Callithrix jacchus: one gene and its partners. The protein of the gene in region 1 interacts with the protein of each later gene in a pairwise test. Links are inferred from orthologs where the notes say so. Each region holds a gene or a part of one and is shown in the gene's direction. Other genes may lie near its edges. The genes, in order: PKNOX1, PBX3, PBX2 and NUP58.

The links.
Region 2: the proteins of PKNOX1 (region 1) and PBX3 interact in a two-hybrid assay, tested with the Homo sapiens proteins (2 studies listed by BioGRID and IntAct). The link is inferred for Callithrix jacchus from reciprocal best matches to the Homo sapiens genes PKNOX1 and PBX3.
Region 3: the proteins of PKNOX1 (region 1) and PBX2 interact in binary tests that used the Homo sapiens proteins (3 or more experiments, as listed by UniProt). The link is inferred for Callithrix jacchus from reciprocal best matches to the Homo sapiens genes PKNOX1 and PBX2.
Region 4: the proteins of PKNOX1 (region 1) and NUP58 interact in binary tests that used the Homo sapiens proteins (3 or more experiments, as listed by UniProt). The link is inferred for Callithrix jacchus from reciprocal best matches to the Homo sapiens genes PKNOX1 and NUP58.

What each region holds. Positions count from the first base shown.
Region 1 is NC_133522.1:48,708,330-48,715,830, forward strand, and holds the start of PKNOX1 (homeobox protein PKNOX1), read left to right. Parts: upstream 1-2,587; 5' UTR 2,588-2,649; coding exon of another isoform or gene 2,650-2,667; intron 2,668-7,501. UniProt on the Homo sapiens protein: Activates transcription in the presence of PBX1A and HOXA1.
Region 2 is NC_133502.1:174,576,010-174,582,827, forward strand, and holds part of PBX3 (pre-B-cell leukemia transcription factor 3), read left to right. Parts: intron 1-3,254; coding exon 3,255-3,420; intron 3,421-4,644; coding exon 4,645-4,757; intron 4,758-5,548; coding exon 5,549-5,638; intron 5,639-6,818. UniProt on the Homo sapiens protein: Transcriptional activator that binds the sequence 5'-ATCAATCAA-3'.
Region 3 is NC_133505.1:39,671,927-39,679,521, reverse strand, and holds the start of PBX2 (pre-B-cell leukemia transcription factor 2), read left to right. Parts: upstream 1-2,862; 5' UTR 2,863-3,126; coding exon 3,127-3,347; intron 3,348-4,016; exon of another isoform or gene 4,017-4,060; intron 4,061-4,235; coding exon 4,236-4,309; intron 4,310-4,521; coding exon 4,522-4,769; intron 4,770-4,869; coding exon 4,870-5,060; intron 5,061-5,242; coding exon 5,243-5,378; intron 5,379-5,619; coding exon 5,620-5,773; intron 5,774-6,127; coding exon 6,128-6,216; intron 6,217-6,335; coding exon 6,336-6,422; intron 6,423-6,553; coding exon 6,554-6,646; 3' UTR 6,647-7,595. Other genes in the region: NOTCH4 (neurogenic locus notch homolog protein 4), read left to right, coding at 541-554; GPSM3 (G-protein-signaling modulator 3), read left to right, coding at 367-585, 797-899, 1,139-1,338, 1,547-1,684. UniProt on the Homo sapiens protein: Transcriptional activator that binds the sequence 5'-ATCAATCAA-3'. Activates transcription of PF4 in complex with MEIS1.
Region 4 is NC_133506.1:144,537,615-144,545,097, forward strand, and holds the start of NUP58 (nucleoporin p58/p45), read left to right. Parts: upstream 1-2,442; 5' UTR 2,443-2,572; coding exon 2,573-2,679; intron 2,680-7,483. UniProt on the Homo sapiens protein: Component of the nuclear pore complex, a complex required for the trafficking across the nuclear membrane.

The sequences.
Region 1 (7,501 bases):
ACACACCTACCAGTGACCTGGGTGACCAGGTACTCAGGTCCTCCTGGACCTCCTGCTGTCTCACAGGCTGTATGCAAAGAAATGAAAGCTTCAGATCCGGGCAGGTCTAAGTGTGGCCAGTGAGTCCAGGGCCACTTCCCGGGACCTGACCAGCACGTCACAAGGCCCCTGCCCCTGCTGAGAAGGGCCCAGGCTTGTCTTCTGCTGTCACTGCCTTGAAATTCTTCACTGTAATTTCTGAGCCAGGGACCTTGTGCTGCTGGAAAGTGGTCTCAATCCAGACCCCAAGAGAGGGTTCTTGGAATTTACACAAGAAAGAATTCAGGGAGATTCCACAGAGTACAGTGAAAGCCAGTTTATTAGAGAAGTAAATAAAAAAGAAAGGCAACTCCATAGGAAGAGCACAGCCTCAAGTACTGCTGGTTGGCTACTTTTACGGGTTTTTTTTTTTCTAGAATCCGTTCCTGAATTATATGGTTATTTCTTGATCATGTGCTAAACAAGGGGTGGATTATTCATAAATTTTCTGGGAAAGAGGTGGGGAATTCCCAGAACTTAGGATTCTTCTTCCATTTATTTATTTATTTGAGATGGAGTCTCACTATGTTGCCCAGGCTGGAGTATGGTGTGACCTCGGCTCACTGCAACCTCTGCTTCCCGGGTTCAAGGGATTCTCCTGCCTCAGCCTCCCAAGTAGCTGGGACTATAGGCATGTGCCACCACACCCAGCTAATTGTCTTGTATTTTTAGTAGAGACAGGGTTTCACTATATCAATCAAGTTGGTCTCCAACTTCTGACCTCAAGTGATCTGCCCGCCTTGGCCTCCCAAAGTGCTGGGATTACAGGTGTGAGTCACCGTGCCTGGCCCCTTTTAGACTGTGTAGTATATGGCATTTGTAAACTCTCATGGCGCTGGCAGGAGGGTGTTTTAGCAAGCTAATGTATTATAATTAGTTTATAATCATCAGTTAGGAAGGCCAGAGGTCACTTTCTCCACCATCTTGGTTTTGGTGGGATTTGGCTGGCTTCTTCACTGCGTGCTGTTTTATCAGCAGGATCCTTGTGACCTGTGTCTTGATCCAACCCCGTTTCATCCTATTACTAAGGACGCCTGAACCCACTGGGGTGCAGCCCAGCAGGTCTCAGCTTCAGCTCACCCAGCACCCATGGAGCCCCTCTGTTCCCACACCTCTGGGCACTTGCATCTGCATCTTCTACAACGCTCTGCAGACTATGCTTAGTCTTGAATACTGAGCTTTTTCTGTGCCCTTGAATTTCCCTCCTCGGCGAGCATCTCAGGGCCTCCCTCTAGCCCGCCCTGATGCCCTCCATCTTTCTGAAACAGGCGGCTCTGCGGCTGCACAGCACTTAGCCAAGACCTTCTGGCTGTGTGGAGCTCTGAAGACACAGGACAGATGTCCTCTGAGCTGCTCATGCCTACACCTACCCCTGGCTCCCTGCAGCAGTCAGCTCCTGTCCTGGGCCTGCCTGCCTTCCCGGAGGAGTGGGGGCCCACAGAGCTGCCCTTCCACCGCTGTGTGCGGACTCAGAGCCCTGACTGCACTCGGTGGGCCACTGCATAAATGAAGGCTTCTGCAGCACCGGAGGCCGGTCAGGCAAACCGTGTGCTTTCCTACGCAATGGGAATGTGTCGCATCTTCTGTACATCTTGGAGAGCAAAGCCACGATCGGGACGCGTGGGTACGTTGTGGCAGTGATCGGTTAGGGTGGTCTTTCAAAGCACAGCTTGAAATGCAGACACTGGTCGGCGTCCCCTACGGCAAGTGCCCTGTACCTGGAGGCTGCATCGGTCACCTAGACCTGCAAGGCTCACCTGGGCCAGAAGGTGTGTTCAAGTGAGGCCAAGTAGCCCAGAGGCCAGCCCGAAGCACTTGTGAACAACATGAGTCCCTGCTGGGGTCCTCACACCGAGGGGGTACAGTGCCCAGGGTAAGGCCTCAGGTGCCAGGCACTCACAGCGCTGCCGCAGATAGGGAGGAATGTGAGCATCCACTGTGCCGCTCAAGCCCGTGCCCACCCGCGCTCCGGAGCCTGGGGTGGAAGGCTGCACGGCTGCTGCAGGCTGGCACCTAAAGGGGGCGCGCACACTGTGCGGGCCTTCGGCGTTGGGACGCCCAGCTGTGGGGCCACGGATGGTACAACCCTCTCTCCCCGCCTGCTCGAGGCAGATGGTTTCTCCCGCCTTCGCACACGTCTCCCGGACCGCAAGGAGCGCGCGGAGGGGGCGTGGCGCGCGCCAAGACCACGCCCCTGCTGCATAGTCATGAGGCGGGAAGCTCTGCCTTCGGGGCGGGGTACGCAGCTCCTCGCGCTAGGGCGCGGCTGGTTGGGGCGGGGCCTGGCTCCGGGTGCGGGCGGGGCTGGAGGCGGGGCCGTCCGTCGCCCGGCCCCCGCCTTCGCTCTCCTCCCCCGGCGCATAGGCCCCGCCCCGCGGCCGCCGCCGCGCAGGGAGGGGCGGGGCTCGCCAGAGACAGGCCCCGCCCCCTCTCTGAATATTGATGCGGCGCTCGTCGGCGTCGCCCTCCTCCCATTGAGCGAGGCTGTGTCGCGTGGCCCAGCGTCGGCGTGACGGTTGGACGCGGGCGCGGCACTGCGGGTCCCGATTGCTGCAGCCGCTTGTCAGTGTGATGAAGATTGGCACCCAGGTAAGCTGTCACTCAACCGCTCCGCCGCCGCCGCCGCCGCTCTCGCCGCCGCCGTCCCTATCAATCACACCGGCCCGCGGCCGCCGCCCGCCGCCGCCGCTGCCGCCCGGGTCTGGAGGGCCGGCGCTGCCCCGGAGGGCCCGCACTTGACCCGCCGCCCGGGGCAGGGGGCGGGGAGGGGGCGCGGGTGGGGGAGGGGATCGGGCACCCGCGGGGGAGGGGGCGCCGTCCGCACAGCCGGCGCGGGGGCGCGCCCAGTTGGTTTCTCAGTGTGGGTTGAGGGACGCGGAAATTTCTGGAAGGCGCCGCCGCCGCCGGCTGGGCCCGCTCGAAGCGCGCGCTCCTAACCGTCCCTTTCGGAGCGCGGCGCGCGCCCCTGCGCGGGGCGGGGGCGGGGCGGGGCGGGGGCGCGCGGAGCCGGCCGGGGGCGGGGGCGGGGGCGGGGCGGCGGGCTTGAGGGCCGGGGGCGCGCGGGGCCGGGGGCGCGCGGCGGGGGCGGGGCGGGGCGGGCGACGCGCGTGGGGCCGGGCGGGTCCTCGGCCTCTCCGGGGTCCTCCGGGCCGGCGGGGCTGCGCGGAGGGTGCGGGGCGCGCGGCAGCGCAGGCAGGAAGATGGCGGCCGCGACCCCGGCCCCTGCCTTGGTCGTGGCGAGCGCGCGGTCTCCGGGGCCGTGGTCGCGGTGGGACTCGGGATCGGCCCAGGGCCGCGCGCTGTCCGCAGTGTTGGGAAGCGGCCCCGGCGTCCCGGGAACGGGTGGGAAATGGACGACAGGAAGAGCGGGGCAGGGTCTGGCGCCCGGGGGCTTGCGCCGGCCTCGCCGGGGAAGAGCTGGAAATGCCGACACTTGTCAGCGAGTCGCTCACGGAAAAGAAACCGGAGTCCGCTTTGTGTGTCATGCGCGCGGCCCGCGAGATGCCTTATTTGGACAGTGGCTCTGCCACCGGGCCGGTTAGGGCCTCCGTTCCCATGGCGGATTCGTGACGCCAGGCCCGAGGGTCCGGGAATGGCGGCCCCCGGAGGTCTGGCCCGGGGCGGCCGGGCTGAGCGCGACGCGGGCTGCGCCCTCCCCGGGTGCCCCGCCTGTGTGGGGTCCGCAGCTCCTTGGGTGGGGAGTTTGCTTGTCGAGACGGGGCAGTTTTCCCTTAGGAAGCGCGTGCTTTCCTCGGGATGGGAGAACCCCCAGCCTTAGGTTGCTTTGAGGTTTTTCCCGGCACTCTGAAAACGGGCTTTTCTAGACATGAGAATCCAGGTGAAACGCGAACCCCTGCCAGTGCGGTGATGGGCGGTGCTCATGCATTTGGTCATAGATGGATCTGGAAGGTGGCAGGCTGGCTGGAACGAGCCTTCACTCGGTGGCATTTACTTGGCATAGCGGCTGCTGAATCCTCTCTGTACACAGGCGTGCCTCGGGTAATCTGAGTTCTAGTCCAGACCACCCCAGTAACTATTGCAGGAAAGCAAGTGACACAACACAGTTTTAGGTTTTTCAGTGCATAGAAAAGTTGTAATTACGCTAAAGTGCGCAGTAGCAAGCATTATATCTATAAAAGTGTGGTTCCCTTAATTAACAAATATTTTTGTGTTAATGCTAAAGATCATCTGAGCCTTAGGTGAGTCCTGCTCTTTTTGTACGTGGACAATCCTGCCTCTGTGGATGGCTGCTGACTGATGAGCGCGGTGGCGGCCCTGTCCCTTACTTAAAATAAGGCTGCAGTGAAGTTTGCTGCATTGATGGGCTCTTCCTTTCATGAAAGACTTCTTTGTAGCATGTGATGCTGTTTTGATAGCATTTTAACCACAGTGGAAATTCAAAGTTGGAGGCTCTTCTCTCACACTCTGCCACTGCTGTCCACTAAGCTGATGTGATGTTCTAAGTCATATCTGCCGTGTTCACAGCGTCTTCACCAGGAATAGACTCCATCTCAAGAAGCCACTTTCTTTGCGTGCCCATGAGAAGCAAGTCTTTATTGTTTCCACCACGTCTGCAGTTCCTTCCTCCACCGAAGTCTTGAACTCCTCAAAGTCATCATGAGGGTTAGACTCAACTTCTTCCAAATTCGTTACTGTTGATATTTGACCTCCTTCCATGAATCATGAATGGCATCTAGAATGGTGACTCCTTTCCAGAAGGTTTTCAGTTTACGTTGCCCAGATTCATCAGAGGAATCGCTACCACAGCTATAGCCTTACAAAATGTATTTCTTAAATAATTAAGACCTGAAAATCAAGATTACTTCTTGGATCCATAGCTGCAGAATGGACACGAAGACAGCATTCATCTCCTTGTGCATTGTCAGAGCTCGTGAGTGGCCAGGTGCACTGTCAGTGAGCAGTACTGTGTTAAAAGAAATCTTTTTCTGAGCGGTGGACCCCACAGTGGGCTTACAATGTTCAGTAATGTGCTATTCCATTTCCAGGGTATAGGCAGAAGTAGTGATCTTAGCCAGACTTACTGGACAACCTGGTGTAGCTTTTCTTTCTGTTGGCACTTGCTGTTTTACCTTGTTCTTTTGTGTTAATGGGACAGCTTCTTTCCGTAAACCTCATGAACCAGCCTCTCCTCTGCTGCTTCCAACTTTTCTTCCTCATTTTTCTCATCTCTCTCAGCCTTTATAGAATTGAAAATTTGGGCCTGGTTCTGGATGAGGCTTCAGTTTAAGGGAGTGTTGTGGCTGGTTTGATCTGTCCAGACCACTCATACTTTCCCCGTATCACCAGTAAGGCTGTTTCACTTTCTTTCCCTCCCTCCCTTTCTTCTGAGACTGTTTGTGGCCCAGGTTGGAGTACAGTGGTATGATCATGGCTCACTGCAACTTCTGTCTCCTGGGTGCAGGTGATTCCCCTGCCTCAACCTCCTGAGCAGCTGGGATAGCAGGTTTGCAGCACTGTGCCCGGGTACTTTTTTTTTTTATTAGTAGTAGAGATGGAGTTTCATTGTGTTGGCCAGGCTGGTCTTGAACTCCTGACCTCAAGTAATCTGCCTGCCTCAGCATCCCAAAGTGTTGGGATTGCAGCTGTGAGGCACCGGGCCTGGCCATTTTCTTATTTGTGTGTTCACTGGGGTAGCACTTTTAATTTCCTTTAAGAACTTAAAGGAGCTTTGTTTTGAGATGAGTCTTGCTCTCTTTCCCACATTGGAGTGCAGTGGTGTGATCTCAGCACAGCTCACTGCATCCTCCCAGTTCAAGTGATTCTCCTGCCTCAGCTTCCCAAGTAGTTGGGACTACAGGCATAAGCCACCATGCCGTGAGGTCTCACTGTGTTGCTTAGGCTGTCTCTGAAGTTCCTTTCCAGAATGGTGATTCCTTTCAAGTGGCCCTCCTGCCTCAGCCTTCCAAAGTGTTGGGACCACAGGTGTGAGCTGCTGTTCCCGGCCTGACTAACTTTTTGATGCAAGAGGCCGAGCTTTTGGCCTTTCTTGGCTTTTGACATGACTTTCTAACCAAGCTGAATACATTCTGCCTTGTGATTTTAAGTGGGAGATGGTGTTTCTCTTCCTTTCACCTGAACACTTAGAGGCCATTGTAAGGTTATTAATTGGCCTAATTTCAATATTGTGGTGTCTCCCGGAGTAGGGAGGTCCAAGGAGAGGGAGAGCTGGGCAGCAGAGCTGGGCAGCAGAGCAGTTGGAATACAGCATTTATCCGTGAAGTTCGCTGTCTAATACAGGTTTGTGACACACCAGTAAGATACAGTGGGAACATCGGGATCACTGATCACAGATCCCCGGAACAGACATGATAATGACAAAGTTTGAAATACTGACGAATGACCAAAATGTAACAGATGCAAAGTGAGCTCTTGGTGTTGGAAAACTGACACCAGTAGGCTTGTTTTCTCCATACAGTGTCTGCTGAGTGCAGTGAAGCAACGTGCAGTCACATAAGCTGCTCACGGTCTGTGGTGTCTGAAGCGCACCATGCGGTGCCCTGCACAGAGGCTCCCGATGCCTGCTGACATGGTGTGTTTCTGCCACCTCAGTGAAGGATGCTTTCCACTTCAGACATTGAAAAGTGTGCCTTAGGTGGGGCGCAGTGGCTTAAGTGTATAATCCCAGCACTTTGGGAGGGTGAAGATTAGCTGGCTGTGATTGGAGGCGGGTAATCCCAGCGACTCAGGAGGCTGAAGCAGGAGAATTGCTTGAACCCAGAAGGCGGAGGTTGCAGTGAGCCAAGATCACACCATTATACTCCAGCCTGGGCAACAAGAGTGAAACTCCATCTCAAAAAAAAAAACCCAAAAAGCAAAAGTGTGCCTTGGAATTGATGAAACATGGTCAGTGAAGTATGGCTTATTTCCAGGATTAACATTCTGTGCATAAGTGTCAGCAGGTTCTATGGTTAACGATACTGGGTATAACGCATTTTCTTGGGGTTCCTGTACTCTGATTTATATGTAGTTACGTTTCTCTGGCAGTAACTTGAGAAAAGTAGTACTTGTGAGGCCAGGTACAGTAGCTGACACCTGTAATCCCGGTACTTTGGGAGGCTAAGGTGGGCGGATCACCTGAGGTCAGGAGTTCGAGACCAGCCTGGCCAACGTGGTTTAACACCTGTCTCTACTAAAAATACAAAATTAATAGGCTATAACGGCAGGCACCTGTAATACCAGCTACTTGGGAAGCCAAGACAGGAGAATCGCTGGAACCCAGGAGGCGGAGGTGGCAGTGAGCCGAGATCGCGCCACTGCACTCCAGCCTGGGCGACAGAGCAAGACTCCATGTCAAAAAAAACTAGTTAATAGCAGAAATAGAAAGTTGCTGCTAATGATAAGTAACATCCTATTTGCAGCTTACATTTTTGTTGCAAATTGTTAAAACTGTCTGAACTGTTTA
Region 2 (6,818 bases), on another chromosome or scaffold:
ATATCTAGAGATGAGACCTTCAATGGTACAGAGATTGCTCAATTATGAAACTGTTAATAAAGCTGTAATCTGATTTTCCAAGCTAGGTTTCATTAATGTATTATAGCTTCTCTGATTGTCAAGGTAATATTAACTACAAAGTACTGAATCCAACAGAGAATTGTTTGGAAGAAGAGATGGGCCTTTGTTGCTAAATTCAGAGTTGGGGAATTTTCATTAATTATGCTTAAGAAATGCCAGATTCCCTCTCAACCAAGTCTGTCCTCCTTTGCACTATAGATATGTTCAATATTTAACTCTTTCTAAGACCTAACAGTCTTACTCTGAAAAACTAGAGTGATATTATGTACTAAAGGAGCTTTTTGCAAGTCAGCTCTAGGTCTGTCTCCTGAGCTGAGAGCATGCATTGGGAAACATGAGGTAGGGTCAAAGAGAACTTGCTTTAATAAGCATAATCAGAACCCACACCTTTATCATCCTTTTCTAATCTTGATTTAGAACTTTTCTGTTTTTAGACTCACATAATTCTGGTATGGATCCTAATGGTCACCGAGGCTGACTTGTCCTGGTGCAGAAATTCCTCCCAAGTATCCTCCCGCTCAAGGCCTAGGTGCCATATCTGCACCATCTCTGGTTTCTCCCTCTCTGGTGACCTCCAGAGCTAGTCAGGGGCCAGATTCTGCCTGTTTCTCCTCCATAATATCTTCCCTCTCTAATCCTACTACTCTGCCTGGCTCAGGCCCTCATGGCCTCCTCGCTTATAAATTCTCCTAACTTCTTCCTGTTCCTACATCCTACACAGTTGTAATGCACACCAGCTGTGAGCATACGGGGCTCAAGGAAGGGAGGGCCAAAAAGGCTAATAGTAGGATGGAGAGGTCTCTTGGGGCTGAGCTTGAAGGCCTAATGTTGTGACAGTCTAGATGTTGGAAGTAGGACCAATGTGTGGAAAGGAAACGGAAACAGATTGTAGTTCAGAATAAAGAGAACTATATACCTGTTAGGACTATTGAACAGTGGAGGCAGGGATTTCGTGAAGTAGCGAGTACCACATCTCTGGAGATTGAGAGATCAGGACCACAGAGAGAATATAGAGGAGGTGGCTTAGAGGACACCCATTGATTTGGAGTTTGCTCTGGAAATAGAATTCTCATTCTTCAATCTATGGCACTCATCCTTCTGGAAGAAGCAGAGAGCCCTGGCAAAGGAGCCACGTGAGGAAGAACATTTATGTGTAAATCTCTTTAAAAATGAGAAGAGAGGGAAGAACATTTGTGTGTAAATCTCTTTAAAAATAAGAATTCACTGTCTTCACAGATGATGTGGATAGAGTTGGAAATCTGGGAGTCATCCACCCAGAGAGGATAACTGAAATTTTTTGAATATGGATAAGGTTGCTCTAGGTGAAAGAGAGAAGAGGGCCAAGAGCTGTGTCTGAAAATACATACTTGCACACATGCACACACTCATACGTGCATGTGTGCACGCACACACACACTGTGTATCAGCAAAGGAGCAGATATTGGAGGAGAAGGAGTATAATGTCACATACACCATGCAAGAGCCTGCTCCAGGAAAGAGGGGTGGTAATTACAAGTGTCAGACACTGCTAAGAGGTCAAACTAGTGGGAGACACAAGGCCACTGGATTTGGGGCAGGTGTCATGCCTGTATAACTACCCCTATCTACCACTAGCCCTTGAGATTGTTGACATTAAAATCAAAAAATGTATGCAAGGTGCTCTGCATCATGGTCATTCACCAAATAACAGTTATTAAAGCCACTCTATTTGATACAAAGAAAAGAAAGGATACATGCAGTCTTTTAGGGGGGAAAAAAGATGGTGGAACAGAAACAGCTAGGAAGTGCTAATCTGTAGCACATTTACTTCCTGATGGGTTTTTGGCTTGTTTCTGTCTGATGAACCTATGCTCATGGTTGCTGCATGGGTTCTCGGCAGGTATGCCTGCATGTGCATATGTGTGCATGTGTGCACCCCGTGATCCCCAGGATGGATAGCACATGGGCAGCAGCAAGGCCAGAATTGTCTTCCTCACGTGGCTCCTTTGCCAGGGCTCTCTGCTTCTTCCAGAAGGATGAGTGCCATAGATTCAAGAATGAGAATTCTATTTCCAGAGCAATTAAAGACTTGGCAGAGATGGTCAAAAGGGGTGCCCACAGTGTAAATTGGATTGGAAGCCTTCAAACTACATACTACTACTTATTTCTCTCCAGGGCACCTGAATAGCTGTTAAGAATAATACCTTCAGGGTAGAACAATGACCCCACCCAGCCTGATATCACAGCAATATGCCCCTTTGACAGATGATTAAGAAATTATTGAAAAGTATTTTTAAACTGTTACTTTAATAAAAGAGAGGTCAGATCCTTTTATATAGTGAGTGGCAATACTTTCTTATAAATTGCCATGTGGCTTTTAGCTTCTTGATAGAGTCAATTACAGGTACCTGAACACACTGTAACTCTGAGCCATGATTCTGGGGCTGAATTTCTGCTCTCCTTGAAATGTGATGAAATCTGCCTGTTGCCAAGATACTCTGTAGAAATCTCTTCCATTTGCAGCGGCTGACATCATAAGTTTGCAAAAGAAAGAAATATATTTCACCTGATGACATTAGAGTTGCTTCTCTGTGTTTGCATTTGACCTGATTGGAATTACTTAAGTTTTCAAGTTGTGACCTTCCCACATATTAACTGGCAGAGCTTGAGCAGCCATCTTGCCAGACATGCAGTATTTTCTGAGGCAGAAGACAAAGGGTTTTTTTCATCCGTTATTAATTGATGTTATTCTTTTCAGCAGACAAAACATGATTCTACTATACAGCTGCCAAAATTGTTCCAGACCCAAAAAAGATTAAGTCGTTCATGTTCAAGTATTTCTTATTATTTACCTAACTTAACAATATTTCCTTCAGCTTTTCTGCCTGATTTTGGGGGCCTATTTATATACTAATTGGTATATAGCAATTAGATATCTTTTATGAGCAGTGCTCCCTGCCATTCTGGTATTACTGTGGAAAACTCTAAGAAAGCAGGGTTACTCCAAAGGAATGTGAGAGTTTTGCCAAAAGAGAAAATAACCCCTAAAACCATTATGCATGATCCATAGGATGCAAGGTTGCAGGCTAGGAATTGTGTGTCTCCCAAGGTATCGCCTTGGTGTCCAACAGGTATTACTGGAATTTGACTACTTCCTCTCTTTCCCTTCACCTCCATGTCTCTGCAATTTGTAGGTATCCAATTGGTTTGGCAACAAACGAATCAGGTACAAGAAGAATATCGGCAAGTTTCAGGAAGAAGCCAACCTCTATGCTGCAAAGACTGCTGTGACAGCTGCACACGCTGTAGCAGCAGCTGTGCAGAACAACCAGACCAATTCGCCCACCACACCAAATTCGGGTGCGTACGGCGGGGGCTCACTCCCCAGTTGGCCCACACAGCCTTATGCCACAATGCCCTGTCCCACAGGCCAGGAAACAAGAGCCATACTGAGGACACAGTGGACTTATAAAGGAAGATTTATGTTCAAATGCAGGCTTGTTCTTGATATGGGTGAATGAGTAGACGGCCAGAGTCTGTAAACCCACTCTTCACAGTGAGTGCCACTCACTAGTAGATTATGGAACTTTTACACTTAGTAGTGGCTTTCAGTTCAGCAATTAGGTAGAGTGCTATTGCTCATGATCATTTCAGCTATCTCATTCCAGATATCACTTTAGGGTCAGTAGTGGTCTGTGGAGAGTGAAATAGCAGAAGTGGGGAACGCAGCAGTTGCTGTGCGTGAGGAAGCTGGAATGCTGGAGGGAAGTGCAGCAGCGCTGCTGTCCTTTCTGGGCCTTTCAGCAGCACTAAGTGGGGCTGACAGTATGCTCAGCAGGTGGCTAGCAATGAGGGTTATGGTACTTAATTCATGGATATAAGATTCTTGGCTCCTCATCTGGTACATTTTGGCCACATTTTCTATGACATTTGTGAGGGGGTTAGAAATACTTTAAAATTTCAGGGAACTTGAACAATAATGAAAGATGTGCAGCTAGTCAAAACAGACTCGATAGAAATTCCAGGGGCTTTTCTGAGGTGTCCTAAATAATATCTTTAGAAGTTCAGAAAGTAGGGTTTTTTTGTTTGTTTGTTTTGTCTTGTCTCCTCACCCCCCAGTCCTTTTTAATGACACATGAAAACAGGTGAAAGGAGAGGGAGGCATATAGCAAAGAAAGAGCTCCTGGGAAAGTCTCTTTTCTGGGTGGCTGTCCGCCGTGACAGTTAGTGATGTTGACGAGCTCGCAAAAACTAGGTCCTGGAGATCAGTGGAAAAAAGGGGAAGCATCCAGGTCAGCTTGGGTGTTTTGGTTTCTTTTTTCTTCTTAATTTATTTTGATTTGTCTCTTCGTTTCTGTTTTTGTTTTTTAAATTTGGGCTTCCCCATTGATAGGACTTCTCCTAGATGTAGAGTGAATCATAGACTCTCACTCTCTGGAGTTCTCCATCCTCTTAGATCTGGAAATGCTTTATGTTGTGCACAGCCTTTCCCTTCCATACTCTCCTCTTCTCCCTGCCTCTAGGTCTTTGAGGATCATGTGTGTAGCTCTCTGTTATTCAGCTACTTAACTCTTTCCTTTCCAGGTTCTTCTGGTTCTTTTAACCTCCCAAATTCTGGGGACATGTTCATGAACATGCAGAGTCTGAATGGGGATTCTTACCAAGGGTCCCAAGTCGGAGCCAATGTGCAATCACAGGTAGGAGAAGTGCCCCAGTGGGGCCTTTCTAGCAGGGCAGGGTTTGGGCTCAAAACTCCTTCCTCTGACCCCACGGAAGTGGTCTGCACATTCATGCAGAACCTGTGCTGGGTGCTTCCAAACAGGACCCATCTGCCCCACCATTTAATTTAATGAGAAGTCAAGTGAACAGTAACTTGTGATGATTCAAACCTGATAAACTTTGTGAATGCATTCGGCTCTGGCTTGAGCTCATGGAGAGGGGTTGGGTGCATCTTACTTTTGTCATAAAATAGAACAGAAAAATGGAGAATGCCAGTATGGATATGGTTTAAGAACATACTGCTGTTGCATTTTTACATCAGAGTGCAAAAACCTGAGTTCTTAAATTATAACTCTGTAATTTCTACTCTTTTCTTGTCCTCTTAATTGAGAACAGAACTACTCATATAGTTTTTATACATGTAGATGAGTGTGTATGAGACATAAATTGTGAGGGGGGCATGGAGAGAATTCTGTATACACAGTTGCAAGTAGGTTTTCACCCATAGCCACATGCATTTGGTTGCCATAGATGGAAAGTTGCATTGCCAGGAAGATGTTCTTATTTGGCTGGCATGAAAAACAAAGATTTGTGAGTTTAAATATGCAAAGAATGGTTGAAATTCTGCCAGTCACATTTGATTGATAAATTTGTCTTTCATTGAAGATGTTAAACCCTTATGGCACACATAATTCAAATGATTTCCTTTTGTAAGTGATGATGTTTTAATAGATTTGGGATGATGAATTTTGTTTTGTCTCATTTCTAGGTGGATACCCTCCGTCATGTTATCAATCAGACGGGAGGCTACAGTGATGGACTTGGAGGAAATTCACTGTACAGTCCACATAATTTAAATGTGAGTACTCTGGGGAGCCAGCTGTAGGAGAACAGTGTCAGGTAAACAGTGACTAATAAAGAAATGAATAGCCATTTGACCGGGCTTCTCATCTTACTGGCAGGTAGGGAAGGCAGTGTCTTTGCTGCACTTTTATTCTAAGAACCTAAATGCTTGATGCCACCTAGATGCCGTTAGAAGTCCTCCCTGATGCCCAGAAGTGGCTGGTGTCCTGACATCAGCAGGGACTTAAGTATCAGCCCATTAAGATGCCATTTCCTACCTTCAGTGCTGTGTTCCAGGGAAATGGTGGAAAACGTGTCATTTATCTTAGAACCAGGCAGCAGGAAAAATTCCCAAACAGAGCTCAGGTGAAGGTGATAAGTTCGGAGGATCCCAGGTAGACCAACAAACCAAGCTAAATGAAGAATTCTGTTATTAAAAGCATCCTGCTGTATTGTCAAGGTGGGATGCAAACATATTTGACAATTTTAATTATGGAGGAAATAATTTTAACTTTGTAATCACTTCACTACAACTTTACCTTTCCCCACACTGACATGGATGGAAAATGGCAAAACACACAGCTCTGGAATGTGGGGGAAAGGGGCAGAGATCAGGTCATCGTGGTGGTGCCGCGGGGCGTGGTGGATGGAGTCTGGGTTTCCAGACTTAGGAAGGAAATTAACTGCCCAGCTCATGGTAGTAGACTCAGGAAGAAAATGGGCAAAATTCTCCCTTTTTAGGGCCTTGGCTTGCTCTGAGAGTAAATATTAATGATTTAAAAAGTGATTGAGGATGTTCAATTGTAAAGGGAAAAAAGGACCATTAAATACTCAAATCTTTTACATTTGAAATGTCAAATCTTTCTTTTTGGGCTTATAAATAACTCATAATAACCCACAACAAACCATATAAAAAGCCTTTTAGTTGCATTTCTCCTTTTTCATTTAAGTGTTTTGAAATGCTTCAGAGAATGTGCGATATCCTTATCAACATGATAAAATATGAAACTGTGATTGCCTGCAGCATTTTACAGACATGAATTCCATCTTCACTGATGAGGCTTGATAAGGCGCTGTTGTATAATACAGTGCATAATCTCAAACCACCAGAGTAAGGATTAATTTATTTTGAAAAAAAAAGAATGCTTGCTGACAACCTCTCCTCCAGCTGCCACGCTGGGTAAAAATATTGTACA
Region 3 (7,595 bases), on another chromosome or scaffold:
GTGCCCCTCCCAGTCCCAGTAAGTAAGAGAAAAGATCAGGGGCCAGATCAGACACCAGGGTCTATCTTAGGGAGGGAAGAGACCTGGTTGGGGGGAGGGGGATTCTGAGGAGTGAAACCACTTCCTGTGTAGCTAGTTCCTGTGTTGACAGAAAGAGCAGAAAAGGAGGTAGGGTGGAGGGAGCAGAGCCAGGGATTAGGGGGCTACTGAGGCTCTAAAGATGAGCTAGCCAGGAGTCTTCCCCACCATGAGCCCCCTCCACTCCTGCAGCTGGAAGAGTTTTTCCCAGTCTCTGTGCTCCCCTGGGGCGAGAGAGACTGAACAAGCTGTTTGGGTGGGAAAAGAGAATGGAGGAAGTTGACAGGGATGGGCGGGGCCCGTGGGGGGCTGACCAGGAACCCAGCTTCCTGCTCAGTACCCAGGCATCCATCCCCCAGCTCACCCCCACCCCTTCGAGCCCCCACTCCCTTCAGGAATTCAAGGTTCCAGCCCTCCTCCCACATCCCAGCCACCCCTCCCCCACCAGTTTCTCCCCTCCAGGGAATGGAGGCTGAGAGACCACAGGAAGAAGAGGATGGTGAGCAGGTGAGCTGGGCACAGGGTGGGGAAGGCTGACACTGGGAAAGAAGGGAGGTGAGAGGACCTGGGGCAGATATGTAGGGGTCTTGAAAGGCTTGGGCAAACTGAGGCAGGAACAGAGACACACAGAGGAAACGGGCCACTGGCCTAGCCCCCTGTCCACTCCACCTGCTTCAACCACCACTGCTTGACTGGAATGGACATATTTTGGCATCAGGACCCCCCTCAGGATGAGCAAGGCTGGCCCCCTCCAAATTCCACCACTCGGCCGTGGCGATCTGCTCCTCCATCCCCTCCTCCTCCACGGACCCATAACACAGGTACCCCCACCTGCCCAGAGAGAGCCCCGACCCTGGTGCCCACATCCTGACCCCATTACCAAGGTCCACTCCGTTGTGGGCCCTCTCCCCACCTCCTCCGGACTTCCCCTGGGATCCCCCATTGCACCCCCTCTCCTCTGATCCAAAGTCCCTAATCATGTCACCCTATGCACACTCCCCCATGGCTCCTGTCTGCCAACCTCTCTGGGTCTCTGAGCCCTCCACCCGCCTCTCCCCAGCCCTGGGACCCCGCTCGGCCTCCCTGCTCTCCCTGCAGACTGAGCTCCTTCTGGACCTGGTAGCTGAAGCCCAGTCCCGCCGCCTAGAGGAGCAGAGGGCCACCTTTCACACCCCCCAAAACCCCCCAGTCCTAGCCCCTGCCCCACCCCGTCCTCTTGAGGACAGAGAACAGCTCTACAGCACCATCCTCAGTCACCAGGTAAGACATCCCCCCAGGAGGCAAACCCAGGCCTCCCGGCCTCTTGGCCCCTGTTGTCTTTTGGGCTCTACTCCTGTTTCTCCCTAGACACCTGCCACATCACCTTCACAGGAAATTTCCTATATGCCTCCCTATACCAACCCGGATTCCCAAGGGTCCTCCCCTCAGACCCTCACCAAAGCTCTCCCTTCTCCCTCCACTCCTCCAGTGCCAGCGGATGGAAGCCCAGCGGTCAGAGCCTCCCCTCCCTCCAGGGGGGCAGGAGCTCCTGGAGTTGCTGCTGAGAGTTCAGGGTGGGGGTCGAATGGAGGAGCAAAGGTCCCAGCCCCCGACACACACCTGCTGAGACTTGAGTCCCAGCCAGCCCTTCCTCACCCCTGGGCTCAAAGCTGGGCAGACCATTGCATGCCCTCAACTCTTACGTGGCAGGGGTACCAGAGACTGAAAGACCCAGCATTCATTGCCCACATTACCTTCCCTGGGCACTTGACTGGGTGAAAGTCCTCAAACTCTAGGAACAGGCAAGGTGGAATGGTCATTTAACTCCCTCCCCAAGTCTTTGGGAGCTTGAGACAGGAAGGCGGATCCCAGGCACCCATCTCAAGGAGTGGCTGGGAGTCTTCCCTGACTTGTGGGGACACCACCTATTTGTCAAGCTACTAGGCAGGGTCTGAGGGCTCAGGCCTCCACCTGAGAGGTTATAACCCGAGAGACAGCTCCACCCTCCCCCCTAGTAAGAATGGAAGGTAGATGGGCACCTGAGAGATGAAGCCTAAGACTATTCTCCCAGTCCCACCACCAGCATTCCCCATCCCTGAGACTGAGGGGTTTACAGGCTGTGAATGCACCTTTAGCCCTGCCCACCCTCCCTCCCCACTGCTGCTCTGAGTCTGTTTGATGTTTTGATTGCGTGAATAAATGTAATTCCCCTCTGGACTGAAGACTGGTGTCTGGGGGGCCCGGGCAGGGTGAAGGGTAGAAAGGTGAGGCCAGAGGCCGCCTCTCTCCCCAGTCTGGCCAGAGGCCAGCTCCCCTCCCTGGCTGGTTAATTACTGGCTCATTAAGCAGCGGCTGGAGACCTCCCTAATTATCTCCCCCAGCCCCCCTCTCCTGGTTTTAATTAAGTAGAACAGGGAGGGGAATCATTAGAACAAGAAATCTGTACTGAGCTGTCCGTGAACGCAGGGATTCCAGCGGCCTGAGTCCACATCACCTAGATCCCTGATTCAGAATCCAGGTGGCAGACCCCACCCCAGCCGCTACCACACCCCCACTCCCAGGCCGCGAAGTCCAGCCAGGGGGCCTTCCCATATTTTTCACATGGCCCGTCTCCTCCCCTCGTCCCCTCTTCCCTCTCCCCTCCTCCACTCGGTCTCAGTTCCTCTGTTTCTGTGTCTCTCTCTCCGCCCCCAGCTCCTCCCTGTTCCTCCTCTCTTCTCCCCTCCTCTTCCTCCCCGGCTCCCCTCCCCCAGCCTCCCTCCCTCGCTCCCCCCGCTTCTCCCTCCTCCCTCCTCCCTCTCTCTCACACACACCCCCGCTTGGGCCTCCTCTCTCTCTCTCCGGCTCCATTTTCTCCGCCGCCGGGGGCCGGGGTCTCCTGTGGGGGGCCCAGCCGGTACCCCAGGTCTCCCTTCAGTGCCGGGGTGAACCCCCGGGGGAGCCGGGAGCCGGGGGCAGACGAGCGGGGGTTGGGGCGGAGGGAGCAGCGGCCCCAGCGAGTTTGGGGGGGAGTAACCAGGCGGGGGTTGGGACAGAGCAGGGAGGGGGCCTCAAGGCCCCCCCCCAGCTATGGACGAGAGGCTACTGGGGCCACCCCCTCCAGGTGGGGGCCGGGGGGGCCTGGGATTGGTGGGTGGGGAGCCTGGGGGCCCTGGCGAGCCTCCCGGTGGCGGAGACCCCGGTGGGGGTAGCGGGGGGGTCCCGGGAGGCCGAGGGAAGCAAGACATCGGGGACATTCTGCAGCAGATAATGACCATCACCGACCAGAGCCTGGACGAGGCCCAGGCCAAGTGAGTGCCCCCACCCCGGGACCCCACACAGACCCAGCAAACCCCGTTCACATGCTCTGAATCTTCTGGGAGCCCCCCAACTCCAGGGCCCTCTTCAGGATCCAACAGCTCTCTTCTCTCTTTACTCCTGGGAGCCCCTAGAAAAGTGATCCCTCTCAAACCTCCCTTCACCCCCAGGCCCTGAAACCTTCACAGAAGGAACCCCAGGTGGCCCCGCTCCCCCTCCTAACCTTTTGCTGACCCCCACACTCCCCTGGAACAGTCCCATCTCCGGAGCCCCCTCTGGCTCCCAGACTAAGAAACTGTTCTTGGGCTATGTTATCTTCTCCCCTAACTCTCCACCCAGCTCCCTCGTTCTCTCCAGATGTAGAGACCCCCACACCCCTCTCCAGAGCCCCTAAAGCCCCTCTCTACGGCTCAGCCAGACACTAGGTGTATCAAAGCCCCACACCTGCTCAGCCCCAGGACCCCTTCACACACAGGATCTCCCCAGTCAGCTCGGCAGCCCCAACCCCACTCTGCCACCTCAAACTCTGACTCTTCTCAACCCCAGCCTCTGTCTCTCTACCTCTGAAACGTACCAGGTCACCTTCCTTTCCCCATTCACTCCCACATTTCTCCACATACCTTTCTAACCGTCTCCCAAAGCCCCCGGCCTACCAGTGGTACCTTTAGCCTGCTGCTGCATCTTCCCTGTGCCTCTGAAGCGGAGCAGCTTCCCCGGCTCTGGGAGCTGATCTTTTCCCAAGAACTCCCCTCCCCAAAGCCATTCCACCCCCAATCCGCTTCCTCCGAAGATTGACCCTCCTCCCTGCTTGTTCTCAGGCCCCCTGCTCTGTTTCTCTGGCTCCTCAACTTTTCTCTTTCCCCACTCCCACTCCTCCCAAGGAAACACGCCCTAAACTGCCACCGAATGAAGCCTGCTCTCTTTAGCGTCCTGTGTGAAATCAAGGAGAAAACCGGTATGTGGGTCCCCCGATTGCTCAACTCTGGGGACAGAACCCTGTTCACTATAGGGCTAGAGTGTGACAACTTGGGGCCCTGAGGAAAGTGAGGAGTCAGGGGGACTGGGAAGGAGCCAAAGCCTGGGAACTTGGCTCTCCAGGAGGCACCAGGAGGACTAAGCACTGGGTGTGGGGTCCCTGGGTTCCTAAGTCCACTGCCTGCATGCTAGGCCTCAGCATTCGAAGCTCCCAGGAGGAGGAGCCGGTGGACCCACAGCTGATGCGCTTGGACAACATGCTTCTGGCAGAGGGTGTGGCTGGGCCAGAGAAAGGGGGTGGCTCAGCAGCAGCAGCTGCGGCCGCTGCAGCCTCTGGGGGTGGTGTGTCCCCTGACAACTCCATCGAACACTCAGACTATCGCAGCAAACTTGCCCAAATCCGTCACATATACCACTCGGAGCTGGAGAAGTATGAGCAGGTGAGGAGAGCATGCTAGGGTGGGTGGAGGGAAGGGCTCTTGCAGGGGAATCCCATGCCCACGGGGTGCCTCCTCACCAGCCCATGGGCCCCCACTACAGGCATGTAATGAGTTCACAACCCATGTCATGAACCTGCTGAGGGAGCAGAGCCGCACCAGGCCCGTGGCCCCTAAAGAGATGGAACGCATGGTGAGCATCATCCATCGAAAGTTCAGCGCCATCCAGATGCAGCTCAAGCAGAGCACCTGCGAGGCTGTCATGATCCTGCGTTCCCGTTTCCTGGATGCCAGGTGAGCGCAGGGACCCAGGCTGGCCCCCAGCACTGGTCTCCTTCCCATTCCTCTCCAAGACCCTGAGCTGCCATGTTGCACAACATGGTACTCCATGACAGTGGTGACTCTGGGGTCATGCCATACAGCAGCACTGCCAGGACACCAACGTCCTCCTCACAGCTCTTCTCCCTCCTCTGTAGACGAAAGCGCCGTAACTTCAGCAAACAGGCCACTGAGGTCCTAAATGAGTATTTCTACTCACACCTGAGTAACCCATATCCCAGTGAGGAGGCCAAGGAGGAGCTTGCCAAGAAGTGTGGCATCACTGTCTCTCAGGTATTATGGGGGCTTGGGGAGGAGTTTTCAGGCAAAATGCACTCATCTCAGCCAGATGCAGTGGTGTGTTCCTATAATCAAAGCTACTAGGGAGGCTGAAGTGGGAGGATCACTTGAGTTGGAGACCAGCCTGGGCAACAACATAGACCAGGAAGAAAAAAAAATGCTCTCACTCACATCTTACTCAGTGAAGGACTTGAGAGGCAAAGGTTTCTACCTGACCCTCCTTTCTGCCCCACAGGTCTCCAACTGGTTTGGCAACAAGAGGATTCGATATAAGAAAAACATCGGAAAGTTCCAAGAGGAAGCAAACATCTATGCTGTCAAGACCGCCGTGTCAGTTACTCAGGGGGGCCACAGCCGTACCAGCTCCCCAACACCCCCTTCCTCTGCAGGTGGATCCCACTGTTACCCTGGCTGACTGTTGTGCACATTTCCTGTGTTTGTTCCCACTTCCTGTCTAGGCAAGATGATAGCAGAGAGGGGGCCTTTTGGGTGAGAGGGACCAAGCTGAGACAGGCTGGAGATGTCAAGGGGCAAAGGCCACTCTGTGAAGTTAGTTCTGCTTTTCTTCCCACGGGTGGCCAAGGAACAGCCTGCTCTTTCTGTGTGTTGGAATGTTGCTTTGTGGATAATTGGAGTATAGTAGCATGTCCCCACAGAGGGCTTTCTGGTAACTGAGAGTTGTGGGTCATCCCCTTTCTACCATCACCAGCTCTATTACACTCTTCCCTCTTTGTTCCCCCAAGGCTCTGGCGGCTCTTTCAATCTCTCAGGATCTGGAGACATGTTTCTGGGGATGCCTGGGCTCAACGGAGATTCCTATTCTGCTTCCCAGGTCAGACGCCCATCTCCTCTTGAGTAGGGCTTTCTCCGGTTCCATTTTCCCTACTTTTGGATACAAGACCTCTATCTGAGGCGTCTCTTCACTGTCATACCTTTCTCTGCTCCCTGCAGGTGGAATCACTTCGACATTCAATGGGGCCAGGGGGCTATGGGGATAACCTCGGGGGAGGCCAGATGTACAGCCCTCGGGAAATGAGGGTGAGTGGATCCTGAAGCACCTCTCTGTCCAGTACTCGCAGGACAGAGGGGCATTTTCCCTAGTGGTATGTCCATACAGGGTTCCCCAAGGCCTTGTCTGTTTTCTATACTCTGTCTCTACCTTCTTCCAGGCAAATGGCAGCTGGCAGGAGGCTGTGACCCCCTCTTCAGTGACATCTGCAACAGAGGGACCAGGGAGTGTTCACTCTGACACCTCCAACTGATCTTGATCTTGCCCCTCAGGGTCACATGGGTGGGGGCGCTCACAAGGCGACTCTTGAAGAGGACGCAGGCATCCAGAGGACAAACCCCAAATACAGAACAAGCACAAGACAGAGGAGGGCCAGTGGGGTCGTGCCCTCCCTAACTAGACTCTGTGCTGGGGGTGCTAATTACATGGCAGGAAGAATGGGACCCCTAAGGGGAGTGTGGGCTCTGTCTCCCCCTTTTTTCCATCTTTTACCTCTCCCCCTTTCTATATTACACAGAAACACACACATACCCAGAAACCTATTTCTCAGACCCCTTTTTCTCTTTCCCTCTCCCTCCCCCACACCTCAGCCACACACATACTGGCACTTGGCAACTATTCTGTTTCTCTCTGGGCTCCCCCACTTTCCCTTCCCCACCCCACTTATATGCTATGGAATCCGTGGAGATGCCAGCCCTGCCCAATCAGAGATGCCAAAAATGGGGACATGACTTCTGGACAGAGGACATGGGCCACGCCCCCGCGTATCCCCACCCCCACCCCTCCAGACGGCTTACTTACCTCATACGCAGCTCATCTTAAACCAATAGAATCGCTCGGTGGACGAGAGTGTCTGACTCAGATATCTACCTCGGAGGGAGTTTCTGCTACTTTAGAGAATTATTGACTGGGCTTTGGGGTTGAACTTTTTTTTTTAAAGAAAGAAAAAAGAAACCCTGGGATCCATCTGTTTTTCTGTTGTTGCTGTTTTTTGTTGTTGTTGATGGTGGTGGTGGTTCTTAATTTTTAATTTAGTTTGGGGAAGTAGTTTTTTTTTATATAAATATGTTGATTTCTTGTCTTTTTTTATATCTTGCTTTCCCATATTAGGGGTGATAGCCAAAGGGGTCCTGGTAAGAGAAAGGGGGACAAACAGAACTGGTCAAGAGGCCCCCTGGCTCCAGGCCTGTCCATCAGGAAGT
Region 4 (7,483 bases), on another chromosome or scaffold:
TTCCTTCCTGTGAATATTACAAGTCTTGTTCAATTGCATATATTTAAGTGCCAGCCATTTTGCTATTACTAATTTGTAGGTTGGTATTCTTCAAAAGTTTTGGAAAGAATATATGAGAAAATCAAAAGACCTAGGGAGCATCTTTCTATCTTCCCATAAAAATCATGTGGATCTTTTGTTTTTTCAGTCAAAAGGAAGCCCCTAGATTTTATGTAAACAATCCTCATACTGGCCACCCTATAGCCATCACTGAAAATGGCATTCTCTGTAACACTGAAGTTTTAAAACTCACAACAATCTTTTATTTTTGCCTCCTGTTCAATAACTATGAAGTTTTTATTTATATCTTAGTCCAAATATATCCCTGTTTTCTTTTTTATCATTCCCATTATGACCTACATGACATTTAGAATGTTATGGCCAGGTGTGGTGGCTCACACCTGTAATCCCAGCACTTTGGGAGGCCAAGGTGGGCAGATTGCTTGAGGCCAAGAGTTCGAGACCAGCCTGGCCAACATGGTGAAACCCCCATCTCTACTAAAAATACAGAAATTAACTGGGTGTGGTGGTGTGTGCCTGTGATCCCAACTACTTGTGAGGCTGAGGCAGGAGAATCACTTGAACTCAGGAGATGGAGGTTGCAGTGAGCCAAGATCGCACCACTGTATTCCAGCCTGGGCAACAGAGCGAACAAAATAAAATCAACTATAAATTAAGTTAAATTAAATTTAAAACAGTAATAAAATAAAATGTTACATATTTATTTTTTTAAATTATACAAATACAGAGGTGGTATATTAGTCTGCTTAGCTGATAAAACACCATAGACTGAGGTAGCTATAAAAACAGACATTTACTTCTCACAATTCCGGAGGCTAAGTCCCAGATAAAGATGGGGCAGTTTGGGTTCCAGGTGAAGGCCCCTTCTAGCTCTGTCCTCACATGGCACAGAGAGAAGAACAAGCTCTTTGTTGTTGTTTTTTTTCATAAGGGCACTAATCTTGCCATGGGAGACCCACCCGGGTGACCTTATCTAAACTGAATTACCTCCCAAAGGCTCCATCTCCAAATACAAACATATTGGGGTGGGGTAGGGCTTTAACAGACGGATTGGGGGAGGAGGGATATATGTTCAGTACGAAGCTGATGGCAATGCCCAAGCTCAACGCAAGGAAAAGTACTGAATTAAGGAGAGCTGTGAGACGAGATTAGAAAGACTGATCTTATGGACGACATCAACTGCCAGACTAAAGAGCCACTCGGCTTTTTAGATCAAGGCAGGGTTGTGGTGGGTATTGTTTTAGGAAAATAAATCCGGGGGTTGCTTATGGAATGGATTTTGTTAGAGATCACGAGTAGGACAACCATTTGGGACAGTAATGTAACAATCCCTGAGGGAAATATAAAAACTAACACTATGATGACAATCCTTGAATGTACCACCACCAGGAAGTCTTTCTGGATGCTTCGCTGGAGGGTCTCTCTTTAAACGAGAATTTTCCTCGAGATAGCCTAGAAATGTAAGTTACCCCTTACATTTCGCCTTCTATCGCACATCTTTGTGCGTTTCCCAAACCTTCCACTTTGCAGTTCCTCCAGCATAGCGTGTATCCGAGCGCCCTAGAGCCGCGCATCGTCCTCCTGCGGGCGCCACACGCGCTCGGCCCCAGGTCCCGCTCTCCCTCATCAGGATGCGCGGACAGTATTTGTGGACTTAACCGCAGGCCAGGAGATCCAGGGGACCTGGTCACTTCTGGGCGCCAGGACCACAGCCGGACGCCCCACGGACACCTGGGACGCTCTTCTGGGTCCCCTTCGGGGCTGCGCGTCGGGCTCGCCTGACCCGCGTCCATCTGGGTCCGAGTGGCTTGCGGCGCAGGGGTGGGGCTCACTTCGTGGGACGGATGCAGGGATTACTATCCATTGATTTCCGAACTTTCAGGAAGCAGACACGCTCCTCTTCCTTCTCAGGGATGGGGCGGCAGCCAACGAAAGCCCTAAGCCGTCTTCTTTTCTGTGTGGGGAACTTGGAGATGCTCTCGAGGGACCTCCCCAATTCTGTGATTTTGAGCATCATTTTTGGCAGAAGGCTAATAGAAGCAGTAATGACGCTCATCACCCTAAAGTGCAGATTATGTCAGTACACCCTATAGTGCAGATTATGTCAGTACACCCTATAGTGCAGATTATGTCAGTCAGATAGAAGAACTAAAAATGACAGAAATGGTCTGTTTTTAAACTCTGAGAGCCTGCTCCTTTAAGAGATTAGGCTGTGCGCCGATCCCGCCGGGTCCCGGGGTGCCTTGCGCAGCTCGCCTACGCCTACCTTTGTCCCAGGACTCCCTGCGCGGCGGGCTCACTTCCGGCGGGCTACGGGAACGCGGCGAGCGTCGCCCTGCTTTTGCGTGGTTGCTCCACCCACTCAGCCTCGCCTTCGCAACCATTGGGGCTGAAGTTCCCGCCAGGTCGGTGCCGGGCGAGAGAGATGCAGCCCGGCCCGCCTCGGCTTTGAGACGAGAGAAGTGTCCCAGACCCCTTTCATCTTGCTGACGGCGTCGAGCTCCGAGCAGACATGTCCACGGGGTTCTCCTTCGGGTCCGGGACTTTGGGCTCCACTACCGTGGCCCCCGGCGGGACCGGCACAGGCGGCGGTTTCTCTTTTGGGACGGGAGCGTCTAGGTAACCGCACTTTCTCGCCTTCCTGGGCCGGATCTCCCTTTCCCCCGACCCCTCGAAGCTTCCTGGCGTCCCCATCCTCTCTCTTCCCGCTGGCTTCCTTCCCGGTGGGGCTGGAGAGTAACACTTATCTAGCCGCCGGCGTCGTAGGCCTCTCGCTCGCCGCGGTGCCAGGGCCCAGCGCGGCCTGGTGAGGTAGAGGGCGGGATGGGTTCTGTGCTGTGAGGTTTCCGGAATCCATGTAAAGTTCAGGCATCGTTTGGACCTAGAGGGGTCTTGGCTGGGTGGAGAGGCCCGGGGCTCTACCCCGGAGCTTTAGCGAGGCATCAGTCTTAAGCATGGAATGAACATTGAATGAATGAATGAAATTGTAGCATATTGTGGGGTTTTGTAATAGATAATTCCGATTTCATTGCAGCATTTGCGGTTTTGGATATTACGGTGTTTTAATAACTTTGCAGTTATTTATAACCAGCCTTTCAAGCTTTTGTGCCACGTGGGACCTTATCTGTTATCATTTACAAAAACCAAAAACACCTTTTTACAGTGTTTATTGGTGATTTTGTGCAATATGTGCAGTTTAGTATATTGGACTAAAGAATGTTGTATCCTAATAACTCAACATTGTCTTTCACTTAAATTACAAAATGTAGGTAGCATGTTTCTCGTTTTTGTGCAACCCATTTGTTGAGGTGGCGACAAAAATGTAACTGTCCAGAAAGAGACAAAATGGTGAGACATCATTTTAATGAGAGATTTAAGCTTTAAAACTCAATTTTTTTCAAGATAAAGGTGGGGGGGTTCATAAAGTTAAGTGTGCACACTGTCAACAAAATATCTCCTGAAGCTTAAAAGATGTGGCTGTAGATTTAAAAGGCAAAAACCTCAGCGTGACCTGCAGTTTAAAGAGGGAGGAGGCTGCCCCGGGTGGCTCAGGTGGCTCACGCCTGGAATCCCAGTATTTTGGGAGGCCAAGGTTAGCGGATCACCTGAGGTCAGGAGTTGAGACCAGCTTGACCAACATGGGGCGGGGAGGCTGAGGCAGGAGAATCGCTTGAACCTGGGAGGCGGACGCTGCGTCGAGCGGAGATTGCACCATTTCACTCCAGCCTGGGCAACGAGAACGAAACTCCGTCTCAAAAAAAAAAAGAGGAGGAATCACAGACTACACAGTCAAGTCAGACATTTGAGAGTTTTCATCCATTCCTCCGTTATTCTTACTCTACTCGCTCAACATCAAATCCTAATAATTTTTTACTTCTGCCATTTCCATTTGTCTTTATTTCCAGTTCCATCACCCTGCTCAGCTATTGTCATTCTTGGAACAAATATTTATTGGACAGATTCTCATGTGCAAGGCTCAGTTTTACGTAGTAACATGAGAGTCTTGCTCTCTTGATCCTTACATTCTTATGAAAATACTTCTGATTCTTTTCAGATGTTTAACCAGCTGTCTTGTGTTAGATGACAGCTACTCCTATCAACGTCTTCAATCCATTTTGCCACATTGTAGCCAGAATAATTAAAAGACAAATTGCTCCCCCTGTAATCACTTCCCACTATCCTTAGAATGAAGTTAAAACAACAACAACAACAACAACAAACTTACCATAGTCTGCAAAGTACACTTCTGCTGGAACCTCTGGGGACTCATCTGGAGCCGGTCTTTTTATTTCAGTTATCCAGACTCACTCTTAAAAACAGACAACTATATTACTACCCAGTACACCAGTACCTGCAGACAAATAAATAACTGAAACAAAGTTTCAGAGGGGGACACTTACCTTACTTCATTGGATGCACTTTGATATTTTCTATTCTCTTTCTTTTTTTTTTTTTTTTTTTAATGTTTCTTAGAACTTGATGAATTAATTTTTATACTTCTCTCATGGTCCTGATCTTAGTATGAGAAACCTTGCCCTAGCAACATGGCATTTTCTCTTTTCCTCAAGTGGGCTTTGCCAACCCCTTCCTTCTACGCCATATGCCTAGTTCTTATGCCTACTTATCTTTTGCGACTGTCAAATGATTTCTTCCCCAGAGAGGCCTTTACTGACCTGTCAGTCTAGGGGAGGTTTCCATTCTCATTAGTACTCTTACAGTGCTAATCACAATTGTAATCAGTTCTTTATATTTAATGTTAACTTGTTAGATCCCAGCACAAGAATAATTAATATCTATGTCTCTCACTGACTAGAAGCTGCCTGCAGGCAGGGTCAGAGTCTTATTTACCACCTCATCCTCAGTCCCAAGAACAGTGCCTGGCATAGAAAAGGGGCTTTAATAACAATTTGAATGACTGAGCAAATGAGTTACTAGTAATAAGCTAGAAGAAAATGACCCAAGCTTTGGAGAGGCTTGGATAAATTAAAGAGGAGACAGTCTGACGTAAATTTGTTAAGAGTGCTGGTTGGGAGGCCTGACAGCCCCCAGTGCCACCTGATGATTAGATCTCTTGAGGTCAGTCATTTTAGAGGAGTTCTCACATCTGGAAAAGGAGTGTAATATATTTCCTGAGTTGCTGAGTGAGATGAAGCATTTAAATACTTAATATCAAGTCTGGCACTTGCTAAGTGCTCAATAAATGTTAGCTATTATGTTAGCTATGAAGTCTGCATTAGGGCCAGCTGGGCAAGTTAAAATAACATTCCTGATGTGATGGAGTCAAGCTGGCTTTTCTACAGCACATCCTATAAAGTCCCTGGCAGATAACACTGGTTTGAGGAGGTAATTGGTCAAGTCTAGGGTAGCTTTTGTTTTTCTTGAATTTAGTAAATTTCTCTTTTGCTTCTGTGGTAGAATAAGATTTCATTTTGATATGTTTCTTTGGCAGTATTTTCAACTTCCATTATTTTTTCATAATATATTCAAGTTATGAAGTTATTTTCAACTTCCATTATTACTTCATAATATCTTCAAGTTATGTTGTCAAGAAATTATACATGTATACAATTATTATTGTTTTTTTTTTGAGACAGTCTCACTCTTGTTACCTAGCCTGCCTGGAGTGCAGTGGTGCTCACTGCAACCTCTGCCTCCTGGGTTCAAGTGATTCTCCTACCTTAGCCTCCCGAATAGCTGGGATTATAGGCACGCCACCACACCCAGCTAATTTTTTTGGGGTGTGTAAGTTTAGTAGAGACAGGAGTTTTACCATGTTGGCCAGGCTGGTCTGGAACTCCCGACCTCAGGTGACCCCCCACCTCAGCCACCATGCCCTGCCTGTTGTCAAGAAATTTTAGATTTTAATTCATGGTGTAAAAATACAAATGTTTACTTTTCATCTTTTGTATATTTCCAAAATAGCAATTTTAAAAAAATGAGATCACTGATTTGTTTGGGAATAAGGAAAGCTTAATAACCATTTTCCTAATTATATGTCTTCAAAATTTGCCAATAGTGTTTTAATATCCCCCAGATAGCCATTTATTCTATTCCACATTGTACACAGAACAGTTTCAAAATAACAATGCAATCAGACTACCACCAGCTAAGCTAAATGTTTTTGGCATATATGCCTCTTTTATGGTTGTCCTACCTATGTTGTCTGGATATAGCCATTACATACTGTATTCTTTTGCTTGTAGTGCTCACTTAGGTTTTTGTATGTGTGATATCTCACTTAGTTTTGAATGTAGCAATATGTTCTTAAAAATACCTTATAATTTCAGAGTAAATGTTTAAAGATCTGTGGGTTTTTTTGTTTTTTGGTTTTTTTTTTTAAGACAGGACCTCTCTTTGTCTCCCAGGCTGGAATGCTGTGGCGCAATCTCAGCTCACTACAACCTCCACCTTGTGGGCTAAAGTGATCCTTACATCTCAGCTTCCTGAGTAGCTGAGATTACAGGCATGTAGCAGCACGCCTGGCTAATTTTTGTTTTTCGGGGTATTTTCTAGTTTTTTTCCATAGAGACAGTTTCATCATGTTGCCCAGGCTGGTCTCAAGCTCCTGGGCTCAAGCAGTCTGCCCACCTCAGCCTCCCAAAGTGCTGGGATTACAGGCATGAACCACTCAGCTTGGCCAAGATCTGTTTTAATTGTTGGTGAGATCTTGCAGCCCTGCTCTACCTTCTGCCTCGACTTCGAATTCTCTGGTGCACACAAACATATTTTAAAGATCAGTGGTAAACTAAGTACTTCCTCTCCTTTTACCTACTCAGTATGGATGGCCCATCTCAAGTTCTATCCCTTAATAAGCTCCTCTGTCTCCATTCTTATCTCAGTGATTAGCTCTGCCTCAAACTTCTGCAGTATCTCTTTGCTATCATTTGGTACTTGATTATAATCTGCCTAATAGTAATTATAAACTTACTGAAGGTGTACATTTCTACTGCTTGAATATTTCCTTCTCCCTTGTCCCCCAGTGTTTGCAAAAACCTGAGTGGCTTTTCGGGCTGATTATGAAATTGAAGACCCCCAGACCCAAGTAACTTGGAGAACTCTTATGGCTTGGAGTACAGTTATTTGTGTTGTTTATCCCCCAGTAAATGGCGTGTTCCTTAAGTAAGGGTTTAGTCATCTTTCTGCTCCCTCGCTATTCCTGGCATAACGCCTTGTACATAATATGTTTAGTTGAATTTATAAGTATCCCTAACGATAACAGTCATAACAACATTTACTGAAGTTAATTCACCCTGTGCAGTTCCTTAACCCTTTTATTAATTAATTTAATATTAATATTTAAAAAATTCTGCTAAGCGGGTACTATTAATTTCCATTTTGCAAATGAGGAAATAGAGGTTCAGAAAGGTTAAGGAATGGCATCCAAATACCAGAACATGGGGGAATTGGTACTGGAACCCAGCCA